Oryctolagus cuniculus: one gene and its partners. The protein of the gene in region 2 interacts with the protein of the main gene of each other region in a pairwise test. Links are inferred from orthologs where the notes say so. Each region holds a gene or a part of one and is shown on either strand. Other genes may lie near its edges. The genes, in order: TBC1D9B, L3MBTL2, BEND7, PHF10 and PAICS.

What was found.
Region 1: the proteins of L3MBTL2 (region 2) and TBC1D9B interact in binary tests that used the Homo sapiens proteins (3 or more experiments, as listed by UniProt). The two-hybrid records come from large-scale screens. The link is inferred for Oryctolagus cuniculus from reciprocal best matches to the Homo sapiens genes L3MBTL2 and TBC1D9B.
Region 3: the proteins of L3MBTL2 (region 2) and BEND7 interact in binary tests that used the Homo sapiens proteins (3 or more experiments, as listed by UniProt). The two-hybrid records come from large-scale screens. The link is inferred for Oryctolagus cuniculus from reciprocal best matches to the Homo sapiens genes L3MBTL2 and BEND7.
Region 4: the proteins of L3MBTL2 (region 2) and PHF10 interact in binary tests that used the Homo sapiens proteins (3 or more experiments, as listed by UniProt). The two-hybrid records come from large-scale screens. The link is inferred for Oryctolagus cuniculus from reciprocal best matches to the Homo sapiens genes L3MBTL2 and PHF10.
Region 5: the proteins of L3MBTL2 (region 2) and PAICS interact in binary tests that used the Homo sapiens proteins (3 or more experiments, as listed by UniProt). The two-hybrid records come from large-scale screens. The link is inferred for Oryctolagus cuniculus from reciprocal best matches to the Homo sapiens genes L3MBTL2 and PAICS.

What each region holds. Positions count from the first base shown.
Region 1 is NC_091437.1:67,605,449-67,609,590, reverse strand, and holds part of TBC1D9B (TBC1 domain family member 9B), read right to left. Parts: intron 3,961-4,142; coding exon 3,746-3,960; intron 128-3,745; coding exon 10-127; intron 1-9. UniProt on the Homo sapiens protein: May act as a GTPase-activating protein for Rab family protein(s).
Region 2 is NC_091442.1:117,284,386-117,289,130, reverse strand, and holds the start of L3MBTL2 (lethal(3)malignant brain tumor-like protein 2), read right to left. Parts: upstream 3,107-4,745; 5' UTR 2,976-3,106; coding exon 2,952-2,975; intron 1,520-2,951; exon of another isoform or gene 1,391-1,519; coding exon 1,150-1,390; exon of another isoform or gene 940-1,149; coding exon of another isoform or gene 903-939; intron 1-902. UniProt on the Homo sapiens protein: Putative Polycomb group (PcG) protein. PcG proteins maintain the transcriptionally repressive state of genes, probably via a modification of chromatin, rendering it heritably changed in its expressibility.
Region 3 is NC_091444.1:69,235,882-69,240,023, reverse strand, and holds the end of BEND7 (BEN domain-containing protein 7), read right to left. Parts: intron 1,789-4,142; coding exon 1,553-1,788; 3' UTR 609-1,552; downstream 1-608.
Region 4 is NC_091436.1:634,029-638,170, forward strand, and holds part of PHF10 (PHD finger protein 10), read left to right. Parts: coding exon 1-108; intron 109-667; coding exon 668-751; intron 752-2,709; coding exon 2,710-2,843; intron 2,844-2,927; coding exon 2,928-3,077; intron 3,078-3,688; coding exon 3,689-3,798; intron 3,799-4,142. UniProt on the Homo sapiens protein: Involved in transcription activity regulation by chromatin remodeling. Belongs to the neural progenitors-specific chromatin remodeling complex (npBAF complex) and is required for the proliferation of neural progenitors.
Region 5 is NC_091439.1:108,089,841-108,094,425, forward strand, and holds the start of PAICS (bifunctional phosphoribosylaminoimidazole carboxylase/phosphoribosylaminoimidazole succinocarboxamide synthetase), read right to left. Parts: upstream 3,179-4,585; 5' UTR 3,023-3,178; coding exon 3,007-3,022; intron 1-3,006. Other genes in the region: PPAT (amidophosphoribosyltransferase), read left to right, coding at 3,816-3,943. UniProt on the Homo sapiens protein: Bifunctional phosphoribosylaminoimidazole carboxylase and phosphoribosylaminoimidazole succinocarboxamide synthetase catalyzing two reactions of the de novo purine biosynthetic pathway.

The DNA of each region.
Region 1 (4,142 bases), on a different chromosome or scaffold from region 2:
GCCACTTACCCACCACCCTGGTGTTGTAGTAGTCAGGCAGCATGCGCTCGCAGAGGGCGACCAGGAGCCAGAAGGCCTCCTCCTCGCTGCCGTAGAGCAGGAGCACCGAGGTCACGATGTTCATCGCCTGCCGGGCATAGGGACGGTGGATGGGAAGCTTGCGCTGCTGGCCAACACATAAAATGTCCCCTCCCAACACCGGCCTCCTCTAATGGCATGCCTGCCCCACTCTGGGCAATCTTCCAGCAGGCAATTTGCAGGAAATCAACTTGACAGAAACACACTGGCCAGGTGAGAAGGCCCTGGGAGGACAGGGAGGGCAGGCATCAGCAAGGACTCTTTTGGGTGGTGGTGTCTGCTGAGCTGCAGGGTCCAGCTGCAGGACCTCCAGGTGGGGAGGAGCTGTGTGGCCAGGCCATAGCCGTGCACTGCAGTAGCTGATGCTAAGACTCAGGAAGAAGCGGCTATCTGGCAAATTTGTTTTTAAAAATTATCTTTTTTTTTAAACTAATTTTTAAAAGATTTGTTTGAAAGGGAGAGAGAGAGAGAAAGAGAGAGAGAAATCCATCTTCCCTGGGGGTAGGCTAGGCCAAAACCAGGGCCAGAAAGCCTGGCCACATGGCTAGGCCTCCCACATAGGTGGCAGGGGCCCAAGTACTTCAGTCATCTTCTGCTGCGTTCCCAGGTGCATCAGCAGGAAGCTGGAATACCTGGGACTCGAATCTGTACTGATTTGGGATGCACAGCTTTGCCACAAGGCCAGCCCTAACAATGACCTCAAGCACACTGCACCGGTCTCTGTGAGTTGGTAATACAGCACACAGAAATTGTGAGCAGTTGGCTTCCTTGAAATCCCAGTGCAATTTAAGGTAAACAGAAACCATTTGATCTGGCCAGGACAATGGCCACTAGATTTCAAAACCAAATTGCCAGAAATGCATCTAAAATCCCCAGTGATAGCCACTGCCAACAGCCCAACAGAATACAACAAATGCTGGCAAGAAGAACCCTTGGGAATGCTTGGTGGGCATGCAGAAGGTGCAGCTGCTGTGACGTGTGGAGGCTCCCACGGCGTCCAGCACAGGGCCACCGTGTGGAGGCTCTTGCGGTGTCCAGCACAGGGCCACCGTGAGACTCAGCAGTACCACCTCTGAGGACACACCCTCGAGAACTGAAAGCAGGGACGTGGGCAGCTGTCACAGCAGCCAGAAGGCAGAGCAACCCCGGTGTCCGCCAGTGGGATGCATGGGCAAAGAAAACATGGAATATAAATCAGAATATGACCAAGACTTAAAAGGAAATAAATTGGGGCCAGCATTGTGGCATAGCAGGTTAAACTGTCACCTATGACTCCAGCATCCCATATGGGTGCCAGTTTGTGTCCTGGATGCTCCACTTCCGATCCAGGTCTCAGCTAATGGTCTGAGAAAGCAGCAAATGATGGCCCAAATGCTTGGGCCTCTGCCTCCCACATGGGAGAGTAGGAAGAAGCTCCTGTCTCCTAGCTTCAGCCTGACCCAGTCCTGGCTGTTACGGCCATTTGAGAGTGAACCAGTAGCGGAATGAAGATCTCTATTTCCCTTTCCCTCCCTCTAACTCTGCCTTTCAAATAAATGAGTAACTCTGTAATTTAAAAAAAAAAAAAAAAGGGAACTAGATTGGGGCTCCCACTGTGGCACAGAGGGTTAAGCTTCTGCCTGTAACACTGGCATCCTATGTGATCACTGGTTTGAGTACTGGCTGCTCCACTGCCAATCCAGCTCTTTGCTAATGCACCTGGGAAAGCAGAAGATGGTCCAAGTACTTGGGCCCCTGCCATCCATGTTGGAGACCGGAATACAGTCTGGCTCCTGGCTTTGGCTGACCCCACTGGGGCCATTTAGGGAATGAATCAGCAGATGGAAGAGCTCTCTACCTTTTAAATAAATAAATACATCTTATAAAGAAAAAACAGAAAAGGAAAGACGTTCTGAAACATGCACCAGCATGGATGAAACTTGGACACTGGTCAGTGTGATAAACCAGTTACAAAAGGACAGACTGCATGAGGTCTGAGGTGTCCAGGACAGCAAAATGCATGGAGACAGAACAGAGACAGTGGTGGCCAGGGGCTGCGGCGTAGAGAGTGTTTAATGGGTACACAACTTCAGTTTGGCAAGGTGAGAACATCCTGTGGATGGATGGTGATGATGGATGCACAACAATGTGAATGTACCTAATGCCACTAAACTGAACGCTTAAAAATGATTGAAATGGGGCCTACGTTGTGGCACTGGGGTTAAGCGTCTGCTTGTGACATGAACATCCTATATCGGAGTGCTGGGTCAAGTCCTGGCTACTTTGCTGCTCCTCCTCCTTCTTCTTCTTCGTTTTTTTTAAAAGATGTACTTTTTTTTTTTTTTTTTTTTGGTGCCGGTGCCACAGGTAGAGGATTAACCTACTGTACCACGGCACCAGCAAAGATTTACTTATTTATTTGGAAGGCAGAATTGCAGAGAGGCAGAGGGAGAGAGGGAGAGAGGTCTTCCATCAGCTGGTTCACTCCCCAGATGGCTGCAATGGCTGGAGCTGTACCCATATGAAGCCCAGAGCCAGGCATCAAGAAATTCTTCTGGATCTCCCACGTTGGTGCAGGGGCCCAAGGACTTGCGCCATCATCTACTGCTTTCCCAAGCCACAGGAGAGAGCTGGATTGGGAGTGGAGCAGCCAGGATTCGGACTGGTGTCCATATGGGATGCTGGCACTGCAGGCGGCAGCTTTACCCACTACACCACAGTGCCGGCCCCTACTCTGCTTCTGATGCAGCTTCCTGCTAATGCAACTGGGAGGGCAGCTGAAGATGGCCCAAATACTTGGGCCTCTGACATCCATGTAAGAGACTCAGAGGGGAGTTCCTGGCTGCTGGCTTCAGCATGGCCCAGCCCTGGCTATTGCGGGCATCTTGGGAGTCAACCAGTAGATGGAAGATATCTCTAGCTCTCTCTGTCCTTCTCTTTGTCTTTCAAATAGGTTAATAACTTTTTTAACAAAAATGATTAAAATGGTAAGTTGTATGTCTTATATATTTTATCACACATACAAAAAAAATAAGTTGGGCCAGTGCTGTAGCGCAGTGGGTTAACACCCTGGCCTGAAGCACTGGCATCCCAAATGGGTGCTGGTTCGAGTCCCAGCTGCTCCTCTTCCGATCCAGCTCTCTGCTATGGCCTGGGAAAGCAGTGGAAGATGGCCCAAGTCCTTGGGCCTCTGCACCTGCATGGCAGACCCAGAAACTCCTGGCTCCTGGCTTCGGATCAGCGCAGCTCTGGCCATTGTGGCCAATTGGGGAGTGAACCAGTGGATGGAAGACCTATCTCTCCCTCTCTGTCTCTTCTCTCTCTGTGTAACTCTGACTTTAAAATAAATAAATAAATCTTAAAAAAAAAAAAAAAGATGTGTGAGCCACCTCCAGGGTAGCGCAGCACTTTTTTTTTTTTTTTTTTTAAGTCAAACGCAGGACCAAGAATAGAAGCACAAAGACTAGAAGCACAAAGACGACAACACATGACATGGGGATGAGATGGGTGATTGCTACTGTTTCTAAGTTACATCTGCCCTGTGGCCTTCCTGGGCTCCTTCCTGGGGTCACAGGGCACTGTCACAGGTGCGTGAGGCCACCACACAGGTCCAGGGCCCAGCACCTGTTCCTGCAAGCCTCTGGTCGGCGGAGAGACGCTTCTTCTGAGCCCCACTAAGCCCCTTTACCTGGCAGTAGCCGATGGTGGGGTTTCGGAAGGCGTAGGCAGTCAGCACCCGCCGGAGCGCAGCGATGCCAAGTTCGTTTTGGAAGGCGGGGTGCTCGGGCATGGAGCGGTGGAGGTCTCGCTCGATCTCCTCCGTGGCCAGGCTGTACTTCCCCATGGACTTCTCCACCAGCTCAGCGTAGTAGCCGGGGTGAGTCACCATCTCATTCCAGGCCCCTGGGGAGAAACAGGGGGCAGCTGTCTCTCCTGCCCCTACTGGCACTCTGGTGGCAATAACAGGGCAGGCTGGGTGCATCAATGCCCCAGTGAGGAGGGGTGGGACTCTGGGGTCTGTTACAAGGTGTGAGGCCATTTCCTAGGTAACCGCTGCAGGGGAGGAAGCCACTTTGCCCGGGGAA
Region 2 (4,745 bases):
CACAAGAGGAGGAGGAGGAGGTGGTGGAGGAGGAGGAGGCGGAGGCCACACTGAACACATCTGAACGGACCTCACCTAAGCGAGGCTGCCCGGCCTCCCTGGGCTGTGTGTGTAACAGCGGGGCTAAGGGAACTTCAGAAAGACAACTGGGGAAACAGGTCAGTGAGGAAGTTTTCAAGACAGAGAAGTCAAAGAGAAAAACATGTATTAGGTAGAAGTGCCCAAGTCGCTCAATCCTTGTGGCTCCATTATCTCATGGATACAGTAAAGAGACTGAGCTGGGTCAGCGTTTCAACCCTGACTTCACATTACAGACACCTGGGGAGCTTAAACGCTTGCCCACGCCAGGCATTCTACGGAACTGGTCTGCACCGGGGCACCGCCATCTGCAGTGTGTCGGGCATCCCCTGTGGGATTCCAATGTGCAGCCAGGGCCACAACTGGTCTCTACTGGTCGCTTCTAGTTCTAAGGTTCTAAGGTTCTACGGGAAGGGCTGGAGGAAGACAGAAGGGAGAAAGACGAGAGAGGAGAGAGGATGAGAAGACAAGATGAACAGAAAGGAAGTAAGATTCAAAGGCAGACTATCGCACTTCTGAAGAGTTTACCTCCCAGGGAACGGGAGTGTCGTCACACAGGCGGCCCTGACACAGGGAGGGCCCAGACCCCGTCCAAGGACCACAGCTAGCTCCAAAGCCACCTGGCTTCCAGATGACCCTCGGGGACTCCTACTGCCCACCCCCACCCCATTCCTCGTACCCAGAGGTCACGTTATTCTCTATTTCCCCTCCCATCGCCTAACTGGCAACCCGCAAGCTATTTCTTGTCCCTGGTAAGTGACCACAGCCCTTCAAGCTTTCCTGTCCTCTAAATATCCAGGCTTAGAAGTCAACGGCCTGCTTACACAAATGCAGAGGCAGCACCATGGCACTGACGGGCATCTAAGAGTGCCGAGGGAACATCAGCTGTGTGAAAGAACGCAATCGCGATCTGCATCCGGACTGCCGCACAGGAAACGTCCCTTGCGGCTGCTCGGGCTGCGTCTGTCTCTCTCAGGTCTTTGGACATGAGCAGAAAGCCCTGTATCCATCCCCCTATTCCTCCATGACCTCCTGACTCCTCTCCATCTTCAGGACACATTCTGAAGGCACCTGGCTCAGAACCACTGCCATCCATGGAGCGCGGAGTCCCAGGGCTCAGCAGGTGCAGAGGGGAGGTGGGCAGCTCCCCGGCTTCTCGATCCTCATTCTCTGGCTCACTCGACTCCTCCAGATAGGAGCTGCTCTCACTGCCCACACTGCTGTTATAACTCCGGAAACTGTCATAGCCACCAAACAGCTCCAAGTCGCCGTCTTCCTCTTCTTCCTCCATTGGTTCCGAAGACGGGGTCTCCTAGAGGACGGATGACACAAACCAGACAGAAGGGCTTTGGTGCGTCAGGAGGGGCTGCAGATGTGCTACTCAGTCTCCTGCTGGTTCTCTGCCAAGTCCACACTTCGGGGAATCTTCCAAATACCCTTTCTGCAAACATCAGGATTACTGTTTGCATAACATTTCTCTACCATAACTCAACAGAATGGCATTAACAAGACAGAAATATTCACCAGGCTCCTCTGTGGATTTACAAATGTTGTATTAACATGAATTCTAAACTCATGATGGGGTTTTGTCCTCATAAACTCACTGTAAGTTGAAAACACAACAAGTCAAAGATGGGTTTAAATTACGTAATCTACGCACACCACAGCTTGGTAGTACGGCACACTGTGCAGTATGGGTTGTTTGCCTCATGACTGTGGGGCTACCGTATATGAATCTGCCTAACAGGTAGTTTAAAAGGTATGTAGCAAGCTGAAGGCCTGGGCTCTGACCTAGAGCTGAAGTGCCAGCGCTGGCGATTACTGGCATGTGACCCACGGCAAGCCGGAATCGCAGTGCCTTAGTTTCCACGTCTGTAAAAGGAGGATAATACCCCCTACTTCACAGGATTTGCGGGAGAAGTAAGAGTTAATGGAGCTGAAGCACCTAGAACAGTGACTCGAGTGCTCCATAATGTTGGCGAAAAGCATGGGCGCTCAGATCAGATACGCGTGGGTGTGAATGCTGGCTGTTGCACTTCTCAACTGTGTGATTTTCCGTTTTCTTCATCAATACAATGCGGGTAATAACAAGCCTTTAGCGGACTGTTGGGGGCACTGAGATGGGTGAAACCTGGTTCTATTTCCGGCAGAGGGTAAGCGCTCACCGTATAAGCTATTACTCTTACTCCACGTTTTAACAGTCTCCTTTACCATCATCGAATTTTGGAGGTAGTACACTCTCTATTTGCAGCTGTACATAGACACACGCTAGAACGGAAGCCGATTCCAGTACCCTAAGGGGTCCAGAAGCCAAAGGATGAGGGGGTGGGTTGCAGGTCATAGTGGGGTAGATAAAACCTAGCCGGCCAGGTGTTGCAGGCTGACAGACTCCGCACCCACTTCCTTCATCTCGAGCTGTGTGCACGTCCCCGGGGAGTCGCACCAGCTCCCTGCGCCTCCGCTGCTTCAGCCATAAACACGAAGCCCGTGCAAGCTCCAGGCGCGGAGCAACGTTCGCTCAACTCGAGTCTCCCTCCCCCGCCCTGGACGTGACGGGCACCGCGATCGCAGAGGAACACGGCCACGAGACCAGGAGGACAAAGAGGATCCAGGCGTTCTCCGTCCTGGGGCGCAGTTCCGCTTCCCCCCAGCGAGGGAGGCTGTTCCGCCCTGAACTCCTCGCCAGACGCGGGTCCCAGCACTACCGAAGCAAAACGGACCGCGGATCGCCTCTGGCCCTGGCTCAGCCCGCCTACCTCAGTTTACCCATCCTTCCCCCTTCCACCCTCGAGGCGTCGCTAAGAGAGACGGGCCCATGGAGCGACGCGCTCGGGGTTCCCTCGCCCAGTCGCGCTAGGTCCTCTCCCTCTCACCTCAGCGCCCCGTGGTTTCTCCATGAGACTTAGTTTCTCAAACCGTCACCAGGTGTAGGAAGCCATATTGGCCTCAGCGCTCTCCCCGAGCGCACTCATTGGCCAGCTCCCTGAGCCGCGGACCAATCAGGCTTCCGGGTAGAGGAAAAGCCGGTTCCGCGCCCGCCCGTGCTCCGCCTCCCCCGGGGCGGGGAAAGCCGCGGGCGATTGTGGGTCTTGTAGTTTCCTTCGGGTGTGCGCGAAGGGTAGTGCCCTAGCGTGGAAATCCCCACCTTGACTGTTCTCATTGTGCCTTCCTCTCTATTGGCCTCTTTTTTTAAAAAAATTCATATATATTCATTCTCGTTTTGTTTGAGAGGGAGGGAGAGAAGGAGCGAGCGACCGCTGCCATTTGCTGGTTCATTCCCCAAATGCCTCCAGCAGCTGTGGCTGGGGCAGGTGACAGCTAAGAGACTGAAACTCCATTCAGGTCTCTCACGTGGGTGGCAAGAATCCAAGTTCTTGAGCCACCATCTGCTGCCTCTCAGACTGGATTTGTAGGAAGCTGGATCAGAAGCTAAGCAGCTGGGACTCAACCAGCACTCTGGTAAGGGGATGCCAGCGACTTAAACTCTGTTCCAAATGCCCACCCTTTTCCTCTCTAAGTCATAACACCTGCCCCTATTAATATTTAAAAAATGGGGATGGACATCTGGTGCAGCAGTTAAGGCATCTACTGCTTGGGATGCCCACATCCCATATCATGGCTTTGCTCCCCATGCTAACTTCCTATCAACATGAACCCTCAGAGGCAGCAGGTGATGGCTCACGTACTGAGTCTGCCGCCCACGTGGAAGGCTCTGACTGAGTTCTGCTCTTCTGGTTTGGGGACATTTGGGGAGTGAACCAGTGCTTGGAGGATATCTGTTTCTCTGCTTTTCAAATCAATATAAATATGTTAAAAATAGATTTTAAAAAGTGTAACAATGAATCTCACAGGCAGACAATCTACTAATGATGTCATATTTTTCATCATGTATTTATTTAATACCTACTACATGCTGGACTGGGGAAACACAAATGAACATCTCTGTTTTCAGGGAGCTGACCCCTGTAGGGAGACAGTGAAGACTCAGTCAACAGCATCCAGTTCCCACTGAGAAGGAATTTAGCAGGGCGCTGTGATGGAGAATAGGGAAGGGAACTCATTGAGAGGGAGATTAGGGGGAAAAAGGCTTGCTGGGTAGGCAACTTACTTTCCTTGATGGATGAAAAGATGACCTTTAGGAGAAAGGAGTGGTTGGGGGTGGGGGAAGACTTATCAGGTAGAGACCTGGAATTTAGAGAGTAAGATGGAGAACAGCAATGGTTAGCAGGAGATGTGGTGGGAAACCTTTGAAGATTTTTTTTTTTTTTTTTTGGACAGGCAGAGTTAGACAGTGAGAGAGAGAGAGAGAGAGAGAAAGGTCTTCCTTCCATTGGTTCACCCCCCCAAATGGCCAATACGGCTGGTGCAATGCACCGATCCGAAGCCAGGAGCCAGGTGCTTCCTCCTGGTCTCCCATGCAGGTGCAGGGCCCAAGCACTTGGGCCATCCTCCACTGCCTTCCCCGGGCCACAGCAGAGAGCTGGACTGGAAGAGGAGCAATTGGGACAGAATCCGGCGCCCCAACCGGGACTAGAACCCGGGGTGCCGGCGCCGCAGGTGGAGGATTAGCCAAGTGAGCCGCTGGTGCCGGCCACCTTTGAAGATTTTTATGCAGGGAAGTGAATCTACTGAATGTATTTTTTTTTTTTAATCATTCTGTGTGTGGA
Region 3 (4,142 bases), on a different chromosome or scaffold from region 2:
GGCTTTGGCTTAGGTGTAAGAAAGCTCTACGGTGTAATGGCTGGGAGTCGAGGGGCCTGGGTTCCGGCCAGGCCATCAGCCGCCTGTGAGACCTTGGGAAAGTCATTTAATGTTTCTGGACCTCAGGCTTTTTTCCTGTAAAATAAAAGGACTGGATAAAAAGAAGGGACTGGACGACAGGATCTCTCAAGTTCCTTCTCATTCTCAGAGTCCTTGCAACTCTTTTCAGTTGCGGGAGGCTGTCCCAGCATCCCCTGGGCTCAGTTTTTCTCAGCCGAAGCACCTCTGCTTCCCTCTTCACACAGGAACATGTGGAAGTATTATTTCAAAGAGCCCCATGGTAAGACAGAAGAAAGGACAGGAAGGGAGGATGCTCAGGAGGCAGCTAGGAACAGCAGGGACACCCTGGGGAGGAAACACAACTAGGAAAGCCCACTGTTCCACGCCAGGGCTGAAAAGAATCAGGCGGAAATGCGTTGTCCTGATATTCAGAGGCTGACAGATTGGGAAGGAACAACAGAGACCTCATGTTTCCATTCTCTTAATTCACAAATGTGGAAAGAGCCAAACAAGGAGAGAAATCCCTTTTAAGTAGTGGTCATATATGGCTGAGAACTAGATACAAGCAGGTCCTTTTTGCACTATGTGGTTTGTTTCATTTATTTGCCCATTGATCTGCTGCTTAGCTACTGTGGGGCCGAGAAAGCAATGCATTATCTACATGGCAGAGTTGCTTGGTGCTCTGACGTCCACCAGCATATGGACTCTGCTTTCATTGCCATCTTGGGATGTGTACTGTCAATAAACGCATGACCTACTCACACTAGTTACTCTACTAATAATTGCCGAATTTAATTTAAAAAATACCACCCTAAATCTAGAGGAAAAAACACCAAGTTGGTTTTTTTCAGTTGGAAGGCTTTTTAGGGTGCCTGGATTTTGTCGGCAGTCGTCAGGTATTCTTTTAAGGGCAGTCAATAAGGATTCCTGAGGCCAAGTGAGGGAATAAATTGTTTGACACACGGCTCATTGATCAGACACCTGTTCCTCCTGCTCTCAGAAATGACCAACACACGGGCAGGAGGCCGGGGCCAGAGTTACTACGTGAGAGCTGAATAATGTCAAATCAGAATTCTGTCTGTAGTTTAACACAATTGTGTAGCAAAGGCACCAATGTAAGCTTGTATTTGGCTGCTCTGGTTAACAGTCCCGGGAATGTGTCACTCACGCTGGATGGACTGCTTTATTTAATCACTCAATTAAAACTCAAGAGTCACTGGGTATCCAGCATAGAAAGAACCGATCGCCTGTTGGAGGCCTTTTGGAAGAAGTGGGAGAAGACAGAAAAAGCATGCATGTCATCACACGAAATGCACGATTCTCATTCTAAAGTGAAATTTCACTTCGTGTTAAAATAATTTTTAATGTTTAAAGGCTTAAGGAATCAACATGTTGTAATACGAAGCTCTTAGGATCTGTTCTTCTGAGATTTTTAAGACTAGGAAGCAGAATGTAAGAAAAATACAACATTCCATGCTTCTTATATTACATGTTAAAAAAAAAAAAAACAACCCTCTGAACACAGGGCTTGGGAAGCTCTGCTGAGGAGGCCTGGGTCTGTTACAGCAGCAGTGTGCTCAAGCATCTGCGTGTCTAATGTTACAAGCATTTTCAATGCAAATATTGTTGTGGCTGCATTTGGCAGCGGGTGATGAAAATGTAAATGTGTTTTACCTGTTGGTGGTAGAGAAATGCTGTCCAGCCTTTCATCACCGTCAGCCACCTCTGCTGGTTACAAGCAGAAAACACAAATCTCATTAGTTTCAGGGAGCACATTCATTTTACTGAATACAGTAATACAATTTAAAGACTCCAGGATACACAACAGTGTCTCGCTCTCTCTTCAGCTTCAGCTGGTTCACATTCCAGATTTTAGTATCATCATTTAAATACTTTTGATGATGACAGTGATATAAAATCAATTTCCCTGTATTAAAATTCATTTTTTAACATCAGAATCCTTATTCTGTCAGTAAGGATTTCAGTTCGTTTTTCCTTGTTTACGTAGACTTAAACATCCGACTGCCTCCGAGGTGGACTGTTGGATGTAGTCATTGAAGGTGTGCAGGTCAGTGAATTCCATGTGTCATTCCCACAACCACTCCTGACACACAGCTGTGGGAAACCCTAAGAAGACTGAAAATCCCGATCCTACAGCTGCCAATCTAATGTGGGCATAAAGAGGAAATGCATGTTTCTTTTCTTTTTTCATATATATTTTAAAACCATTTCATTTGAGCAAGCATCTTGCTCTTCCATGCAGTGGTTCAATCCTGAAATGGTTACAATGGCCAGGGTTCTGCCAGGCAGAAGCCAGGAGCCCAGAACTCCATCTGGGTCTCCCATGTAGGTGGCAAGTACTTGGGCCCTCATCCACTGCCTCTCAGCATGCATTAGCACGAAGCTGACTGGAAGTGTGAACTGGCACTCCAGTGTGGGATGTGGGAGTCTGTGCCACGAGGCCTGCCCTCAGGTTCTTCATTTCTGCTTTCAAAATGCAAACTTTTGCTCCTTTCTGATATACATTTCAATCTCCTTAGGAGTCACCAAAAATCTTAGGCTAAATGCTAACAAAAGAGGACGTTTAAGTCTCCTGATAAATGGCGTGCCTGTGAGTCCCCCCTAACCTGCGGGGGACAGGGAGAAACACTGCATCACAGCCACGGAGATAACTGATGGCACCTGCTACGTCCCAGGGCCAGGGTCCCCTTTGGAAGTTCTCTGTTGATCCTACACAGGAACGTGAGAACCACCGGAAAGCAAGCGAATACTGTCCCTTTAGTTGTTGTTGCTTGGAAGAGGGCTTCCATGTGGCCAGAAATGGTCAAACCTTTCCCCAGATGCTTTGTCCTCTAAGGTCTTGTCTTCAGGCGGATACACACTGGCCCTACTGAAAGACCTATTCTCTGTAGACCAGTCAGAGTCACCATGAAGGGAAGACATGGGATATTCTAAACCAGTTTTGGGGGAACAAGAGTAGAAACTGCTAAAAATGAGGTTGTAGATGAATACATACTAGGAAACATGTTCATGTCAAATAATAAACCGCATGATAGAATTTTGTGACTGTGTTTTTTTTTTTCTTCATAACATTTGTTGAACTCTTTACTTAGTGTAGGGTTAATCTTATGAGTATAAAGTTAACTGAAAATAGGTCTTTGTAAAAATCAAGAGTGGGAACAGGAGGGGGAGGAAGATGAAGGGTGGGAGTATGGGCAGGGAGGAGGGGGGTAGGGTGGGAAGAATCACTCTGTTCCTAAATTTGTATATATGAAATGCATGAAGTTGATATACCTTAAACAATAAAAAAACTGAATTGTGTAATTGTTTCACTGTGGAGGAAAAGCTTTAGGTATTTTAAATTTTATTCTTTGCAGTTTTAAATTATAGTACATGTTTTACAAGTAATGTTAATTTTATATTTAGAAAACATTTTCTTCTAATTGGTTTGAGTGAATTTGAACAGGTAGATGATTGTATTAGCTTTTCATTACTATAACAGCATAGCTGAGGGAACTGTAAAGAGAAAAGGTGGGGGCTGGCGCTGTGGCCCAGCAGGTAAAGCAGCTGTCTGCAGTGCCAGCATCCCATATGGGTGCCGGTTCAAGTCCCAGCTGCTCTACTTCTGATCCAGCTCTCTGCTATGGCCTGGGAAAGCAGTAGAAGATGGCCCAAGTCCTTGGGCCCCTGCACCCGTGTGCAAGACCAAGAAGAAGCTCCTGGCTCCTGGCTTCCGATGGGCACAGCTCTGGCCATTGCAGCCATCTGGGGAGTGAAGCATTGGATAGAAGATTCTCTCTCTCTCTCTCTGCCTTTCAAATAAATAAATAAATCTTTAAAAAAAGAGAGAGAAAGAGAGAAAAAAGGTTTATTTAGCTCACAGCTTCGAAGGTTCTCCAAGTCTGGGCAGCCTCACTGGCCTGGCCTCTGGTGAGGGCGGCAGGTGAATGGAATGCAAGCAGAGGGAGGATCACAGAGTGAGCCAGGAAGCAAAGCCCAGGCCTTTGTAACTGCCATCCAAGAGCACGCTCCCACCCCCTAGACACTGTAATTGATTAAGTTTCCACTCTCGCATCGCCAGC
Region 4 (4,142 bases), on a different chromosome or scaffold from region 2:
ACCTGATAGAGTACAAGTGGCCACCTGATGAAGCCGGAGAGTACTACATGCTTCAGGAACAAGTCAGTGAATATTTGGGCGTGACCTCCTTTAAACGGAAATATCCAGGTACTTGAGTCTTAGCTGTGTGATAATGAAATCTAACTTCTTAACTAAGAGTAGTTTTTTATGATAGCTTATCAACCACTGAATTCTTGGATGTGGATTATTGGTAATATATATTTTATTCTTGTGCGCTCTGATTTTCATTTATTGGCATTCAGCTTCTCCACCTATTGATGTGTTATTATGTCTCACGAACTGATATAAAAGCAAAATGAGAAAGGGGACTTTCCTGGAGAAATTTAAGACAAAACCCATCTCTAGCCATGAGTTTGTTTTGCCACTGCTCCTTGACTTTAGGAATGAGTTAGTACAGAAGCCATGCTTGAGTTGCAGGAGGACTACCTTTGATGAATTGTTCCGTACAGTTATTTATGTTATCTTTGGGTTATTCTGTTTTCAGTTTTATTCCTTGAATTCAAACAATTTTTGTGTAGCCCCTTTAACAGTATTTGAGATACATGACATGAAGTACTTTTAAACAGAAAATTTTTAAGCTTTTGTAAGTTTTATAATGCATAATGCTTTACTGTTATTAATAGTCTTCTGTTCTTCCCTTTTGGAGATTTAGAGAGACGAGATTTGTCTCATAAGGAGAAACTGTACCTGAGAGAGTTAAACGTCATCACAGAAACTCAATGCACTCTAGGTAATAGAAGCTTGCTCTTTTTTTTTTTTTTTTAAAGATTTATTTATTTGAAAGGCAGAGTTACACAGAGAGAGAAGGAGAGGCAGAGAGAGAGAAAGAGGTTGTCCATCTACTGGTTTACTCCCAATTGGCTGCAATGGCTGATACTGCACCGATCTGAAGTCAGGAGCTTATTCTGGGTCTCCCATGTGGGTGCAGGGGCCCAAGGACTTGGGCCATCTTCTACTGCTTTCCCAGGCCACAGCAGAGAGCTGGGTTGGAAGTGGAGCAGCTGGGACTTGAACCAGCGCCCATATGGAATGCAGGCAGTGACTTTACCCACTATACTACAGCGCTGGCCCCAGAACCTATACTTTTAAAAAAATACCATGCAGGGTGCTGGTGCTGTCATGTAGCGGGACCCTGCACCTGTGCTGGAGACCCGGAAGAAGCTTCTGGCTCCTGGCTTTTGGCTGCAGATTGGTGCCACTCTAGCTGTTGTGGCCATCTGGGACGTGAACCAGCAGAGGGAAGGCCTGCCTCTCTCTCTGTCTCTCTCTCTCTCTCTCTTTCTTTCTCTTTCTCTTTCTCTTTTTCTCTCTGCCTGCCTGCCTCTGCCTCTCTGTAACTCTGCCTTCCAAATAAATCTTTAAAAAAAAGTATAGGTTCTTATCTCTTAAAAGGGAAATTTTGCTGAATATTCAGTTTTGTGTAATATTCTCCATACTTTATACTTTTCCTTTGATAAGCATTTTAATGTAGTGTATAGTGTGGCTCTTTTTTTCTTTTTTAAAAGACATTAATATAAATTATTTGAAAGGAGGAATTAGAGGGAGGGAGAGGCAGACACTGGCTCACTCCTCAAATGGTTCAAAGCCAGGAACACTGAATTCCATCCGGGTCTCCCTGTGGGTGGCAGGGTCCAAGCACTTGAGCCATCCTCCGCTGCTTTCCTAGAAGCATCAGCCGGGAGCTGGACGTGAAGTGGAGGAGCCAGGACTTGAACTGTCAGTTAACACAGGATGTTGGCATCAGCCCTGTGTGGCTCCTTTTCTGTGTGAATGCACGAGAGTTCATTTTAGCAGCTGAGTAAAATCTGACACTATCACGTTTTGAAAATTGTGTTCATGATGTGTGTATGCGCTGATGCTTTTGGTAAAGTTTGGGTTGATTATAATATTTCTGGTATGGAATTTGAAGGCTAGGAAAAACCAGTAGTTTGAAAAGCTTTTTTTTTTAACTGATATCCTGTATCCTGTTAGGAGTTAGACTGTATTGTTTTTGGCAGTTGTTTGTAGATAAAGGGATATATGCTTATATGAGGGTACTTCAAAAAGGTTTTGGATAATGAAATTAAAGGATAAGTTTATTTTGGTACAAAACAATTTTGAATTAATGCATGCTGAGGGTCTTCAAAAATTCCATGCAAAATGGGTGTTAAGAAAATACCATGCATGGGTTTCAAAATCTTTTGCATCCAAATAAATTTTATTGTCATTTCCTATGAACTTTTTGAAGTTCCTTTGTAGAATACATAGGATCTAAAAAACTCATTTGGTTGAAAATGGATTTATTTATTTGAGAGGCAGAGAGAGCAGACAGAGCTAGTGGAGCCGCAGCTGGGAGCCATGAACCCGTCCGCATCTCCCTGTTGGGGAGCAAGAGCCCAGTCGTGGGTGCTCTCCCTGCTGCCTCCCGGGCTGCGTGGCAGGAACCTGGATCAGGAGCAGAGCTGGGGTGGACAGGCTTCGGCACGGGACGTGGTCTCAGCTGGCATCTCAGCTGTGAGGCCAAATTCCCACCCCGATCTTGCTTTTTGGTTGCTTGATGTCATTATACTACAGGTACTACTTTTAGCTGTTTTAAAATAGTTTGCTTTGTTTGAAAACCTTCTAAATGTAGTTTGAAAGAGAGGCAAATTCAAGAGTGTTTTTGTTCCCTTGAGAGTTACTTTCTTTTTAAAAATTTTTCTAATACAGGTTTAACAGCATTGCGCAGTGATGAAGTGATTGATTTAATGATAAAAGAATATCCAGCCAAACATGCTGAATATTCTGTTATTCTGCAAGAAAAAGAGCGTCAGCGAATTACAGACCATTACAAAGAATATTCTGTGAGTGACTGGGAGTGACCACCGCGCCTTGTTTGGGTTTGGGAGGATGACATGTGACTTTCAACTGCACTGTTTCTGTTTCAGCAAATGCAACAGCAGAACACTCAGAAAGTCGAAGCCAGCAAAGTGCCTGAGTACATCAAGAAAGCGGCCAAGAAAGCAGCTGAGTTTAACAGCAATTTAAACCGGGAGCGCATGGAAGAGAGAAGAGCCTACTTTGACTTACAGACACATGTAGGGTGATTTAAGCTCAGGAGTCTCTGGGCCTAGCTCCTTGCTTGTCACTGCAGAGTGGCGTTACCCCCTTACTGTTTGTTATGCTACCTGTCCTCTTCCTCCCACTGGAACGTAGGAAGCCGTGTGTAGTTACGTGCCAGGGACACCCAGCCTGCTGTCTGGGGAGCTGTGTGCCCTTCATTGCGGCTCTGCTGAGTGAGACTGCAGTAGCTGCTTCTCATACTCTGTGTGTGTCCGAGGGTGTCAGAACTCTCCATGTGCCTTGATTTCTCAGTTCTGACCGCATGAGGTTGGGACTGGCGTCATCACCGTTTCATACGTGAAGAAGTTGAGCCTCAGAGGGGTTGTGTAAGCCGCCCGGCTCCTGTCCTCGTTATGTGGCGAGCGCGAGAGGCACTGCGCTTCTTGGGAATTGTGCTCACAGTCGAAGGCAGACAAGACCGTGCTGTGTCTAGCTGGGAAGCACAGGTCTCTGCTCCATGTTCCTTAAATCTGTAGCTGTCGTAAAGGGGGAAGGGCGCACGCAGTGGAGAGCAAATCGGCTTCCTTTCCCGAAGGAATTCCATGATTCTAGGCGTGGAATGAGCTCTGTGTTTTTGTTAACACAGGTCATCCAGGTGCCTCAAGGAAAGTACAAAGTGTTGCCTACTGAGCGAACAAAGGTCAGTTCTTACCCAGTGGCTCTCATCCCGGGACAGTTCCAGGAATATTACAAGAGGTATTCATTACCAGAGTTTTGGTTACCATTCGTATCAGCTTTTGGTGATGGATTGCAGAACCTTCTGTCTTTGCCTCCTGACAATTTTGGGGTCGTAAACACACTCCTGAGATAATGTGTAGGGTTCGTGCCACGCTTATCTTCTCTGGTTCTGTGACAAAGAACGCTCTTCTCACAGAATGGACAGCTGACAAAGGTGGGCTGTCCGTTTCTCTGCTCACCCTGTGGGCTGGTCACAGACAGGTGCTGGGTTTCTCTAGCCCTCACTGCTCTAAGTGTGCTCTGTGGTTTAGCAGCGCTGACGTCACCTGGAAGTTTGCTCGAAGTGCAGAACCTCAAGCTCA
Region 5 (4,585 bases), on a different chromosome or scaffold from region 2:
AGGTGACGAAGTTTGAGGACTTAAACATTCCCAGAAGGGCGCTCACCCTCCTGCTCCTGGAGCTGGATTCATTCTGACATCAGCACTTTTTGAGCGCACCCACTGCCAGGCACTGGGGATCTATGGGCGCAGGAGACACAGCTCCTGCTCTCGTAGGACCCAGGGTGATACTACACACAGCATCACAGGAAGTTAATGCAATAACCACAGATTGTGGAAACACATGTTCATAGCAGTGCCACCTACCTAAACTACTTTAGACAGCAGAGAAGGAGTCTAGAAGAAAGTGACAACTAGGTAGATATCTGAAGAATGATCAAAATTTAGCCAGGAAGAAAGGGAGGGACTGGTGGTGGTGGCTAAATGAAGGTGCAGAGTGTTCAGCAGAACTGCAGTGTGGCTGCAGCACCAGCGCTGTGGGTGCAGGTCCCTCGCCACGGGGACAGCAGGAAGCGAGACCCAAGACTTGTGCAGGGCTCACATTAGCAGCTGGCAGAGGCAAGCACTAGCGACAGCTCAGCACAATAGCTGCTACCCTAGGGCACCTAATTTAGAGGATGAATCTGTATCCTCCTAACATACTATCCACCAGACTCAGCAACAGGCTTAAAAAACCCTGCAGCGGGGAGCAGGCACTTGGCCTAGCAAAGATACCCCCTTCTCACATCAAGAGCTCCTGGGTTCCACCCCCGGCTCTCACTTCCTGCCAGTGCAGACCCTGGGAGGCAGTGGTGATGGCTCAAGTAATCCGGTTCCTGTCACCCATGGAGAAGACCTGGCTTGAGTCCATGGCTCCTAGCTGCAGGCATGTAGGAGTGAAACAGCACCTGCGAGAGCCTGCTCACCCTCTTGCAGATAAAAAACAAACCCTCCAGCATACAGCCCCAGTTTAGTGCTCTATACTTATTTCTCCAGTCCCTGCCTAGCGTTCCAACTTCTTCCATGGAATTCTTATCCCCCTCCTGCCCACTTCTGTTCCTTTCTCTTCCATTTCCTCAGGCCTTGTAGGCCAAGTTGATTGAGCTGACTTTATCCTAGGAACAACCATAGATAGGGCTTTTAAGCTCTGTAGTGAAATGCTAGATTTGCATTCCAGAAAGATCCTTGTGGTTGCTGTGTGGAGAACGAAGGCATGGTTGGAACAAAACCAGACTCTGGGAGACCCGTTAGGAAGCTGCTGCTACTGCAGCAACCCAGGCAAGAAATGTCACAGTCTAAGGGAAAAGCAGTGGGAGAAGAGGCAAGATGTTTGAGAGAGAGAGAGAACCGATTCAGTGTGGTGGACAAAAGAGCTATAGGAAGCAAGAATGGTTCAATCTCTGCTTATTGCCCAGTCATGAAATAGGACAGCAATGGCAATGGGTAGACTCAACCATCCGGACACTTGCTCAAAGTGCCAAAATGCTGTCAATTATTAGATGAGTTCAGAAGAGACTGAGAAGGACTGAGAATGGCTCATGGAACTGAAATTTAAAAGTTATCAAAAGCATAGAATTTCCATAGAAAAGAACTTTACCAGGCAATCATCAAACACTTGAAACATGATGACTCCAAACTGAGATGTGATTTATGTATAAACTACACACCACACTCAACGTGGAAAAAAAAAGGATGCAAAATACCTCAAGGAATTTTTTCTATAAATCACATGTTGAAATGTTCATATTTGGGATATCCTGGGTTAAATAAAAGCCATTAAAACTCATTTTACCAAATTTATAAAAAACTTCAGAAAGAGGGCTGTTAAAAAACAAATTTATGTATATGGTTCACTTTATATTTCTTTTAGCCAGCATTGTTCTAGAACAACAATAACAAAAAGAAAAAATAAAATGTGACCTCTGTGAATTAAACTCACTGGAATGTAGGGTAAGGATTCCTACCAAGACAAATTAGGGTGGAAGAGGTAGGAAGGACAGCTTTACGCAGGGTTCCAATCACAGGAACTTAGGAACAGGCTGCAACAGCTCCAGGGAAGCCACTGAGCATTTTTCTGACCAAGACGGGCCTTCATTCTGGGAAAGCTAACCTGCCACTGGTATCCAAGATGTAAGTGCTGGAACAAAACCTTGAGAGGTCCCACCAGGTTCAGGCACCCTGACTGCAGGAAAAACTGGCCAGCCCTTGGTTTTATGGAGCGGTTGCGCAATTATCAAAATGCTGTAACTTTGCAGAAGAGTTCAGAAGAGGCTGATGAGGACTAAGGATGGCTGAAGGAATCGGCTCTTCCCGGTGAGTTTACAACGCTCTTTTTACGATGGCTCACTCCCCAGCTGGCCGCAACCGCCAAGCCAGGAGCCCTATCCAGGCCTCCCACGTGGGCGCAGGGGCCCAGTCCCTCGGGCCATCCTCTGCTGCTTTCCCGGGCCAGGACTCGAACCTTCGCCATCACGCCGGCCCCAGCTTACAACTCTCTGATCTAAATCCAGTTTGTCTCCTACGTGCAAAAAGAATGTACTGGCGGATGACACAGGCCATCTGGTTCACTGCGTATTTGTCGGAAACATCGTATCACGTCCGATTCCACATCCACGGCAAGAACCATCGTTCCAGTCGACCTGAGCGCAAAGGTTACCGCTACGACGTAAATGCGGTAAATGCAAAATGAAGCTAGCAACCCTTTTTTTTTTTTGTTTTTGCCTGCAGGTTTTGGAACTCAGCAAAGCCATCAAAGACTGCTTTAAAAAGTAAAAAAAAAAAAAAAAAAAAAGACCAAACTGCACAAAACCTGGCCAGATTTTCAGTTTAATCAAGAACCTGGAACAACCAAGACTCTAGGGTTTGAAGTCAGCACCAGAATTTCAAGCAGTTGCTTTGCAATAGCTATTCATGACCAGAGCGCTTCCGACCGCCTTTTGTCCCAGGGACCCGCCCCACGCTCGCCCCTCGCCACCGCGTCCCGCGCTCCGGGCGCTCGGGCCACGTGTGCGTCCGCCCAGAGCCCGGCCGCCTCAGCCGCCTCGGCCACCTCAGCCGCCGGGCCGGCCCCGGGCGCCCGCCACTCACCCTCGGCCGTCGCCATTATCCCGAGTGGACCAAGGGCCGCACAAATCTGGAAAAGAGGCCGAGAGGCGCAGCGCGCGGGCCGCGGAGGCGGGGCTCTCGCAGAGTCGGCGGCCGCCGCCGCGCAGCTCGGCCGACCGCGATCTACGTGCGAATGCACGCGGCAGGGTCTCTGCCCGGGGCTTCCCGCCGCGCAGGCGCGCCGGCGCGACCCCGCCCCCGGGCGGCGTTCCCGGGGAGCCGGAAAGTGGCGCGCGCTGGCGGCCCCTCCCCGCTCCGCGCCGACCGCAGGCTGGGGCCCCTCGGAGCCGGAGGAAGCCGGTCAGGGCTTGGAGCGTACCAAGTCGTCCCGGCCGGGGGAAGGCACGTGCGGAGGGGCGCGCGACGTGTGCCTCTTGGGCGAGGGCCAGGATGCTAACCCCGTTATTCTCGTCACCCCAGCATTGAGGACTAGAGAGTAACGGAGATTTCCACGTGCGGGAGAGTATACTGTCCGGGCGTCTCCGGGGGTGGGGGAGGAGTAGCTCCACCCCTACTGTATGCGGGACTCCTCCCCTCGGCCGCGGAGCCTCGCTCTCTGCCCTCACTCATTGGCGGGCCCTGTGGGGGGCGGGACGCGGGGGCTGCGGCCCCGCCCACGGAGGGGGCGGGGACAGCACGCGCCGCCGCAGTAGCGAGCAGACGCTCGGTGCTGGGGAGGAAGCCGCTGTCTCCGGCGCGGTCTTCTGAGGCGTTGGTTTCAAGGCTGCAGCTGGTTGGTGCGCCGACCCGGGCCGCGGCTGCAGCTTCCTCCACGTGCTTTCGGCGGCGACATGGAGCTGGAAGAGTTAGGAATCCGAGAGGAATGTGGCGTGTTCGGGTGCATCGCCTCAGGAGAGTGGCCCACGCAGCTGGATGTGCCGCATGTGATCACGCTGGGACTCGTGGGGCTGCAGCACCGGTGAGCCGCGCGGGGAGGGCGGGGGTGGCGGTGCCTCTCGCGAGCGCTCGAGGGCCCGGAGCCCTGGCCTCCGTTACCTGGACGTGCACCTGCCCGTGGCACGCCCCGGGACGTTAACGCACACAGTCCCGTGCCTCTTGCCTTTTGGGGCCCTCACTCCCCTCCGAGTCCCGCCAGCTTCTGAGGTTCCGCTAGGCTCGTCCCCGACTGCCTGCGGGTTCTGGCGCCCCCCGAACGTGGGGCTGCTCGCGGGGTAGGCTCGTGCCGGGAGGTGCCCGGACCCGGTCCGACGACCAGCACAAGCTTTTGTTTCCAGGACACAGCCCTGGAGCCGGTGGTGGGTTTGAGAGTAGTCACAGCAGTGGGAACTGGAGGGGAGGAGGGGGTCCCGGCGTCCGGATCCGGGAGACTTGGAGTAACCTGTGGAGGGGACGCACGAGCGAGCTAGGGAGATGCCAAAATGAGCTTCCCTGGAAAGGGGGAGTGAGGAGTGGGGCTGGTGCTCCCGCGTCAGGACGAGCCACATGGAAATCGGAAAGCTGGGAGAGCCCCTCCAGTTAAGACCCAACTTCGCCTCCGTGACCCTTACGTTCCTTCTGACTTAGCTGCGAGCTGATGGAAGTAACCCGACTTGGGTAAGAA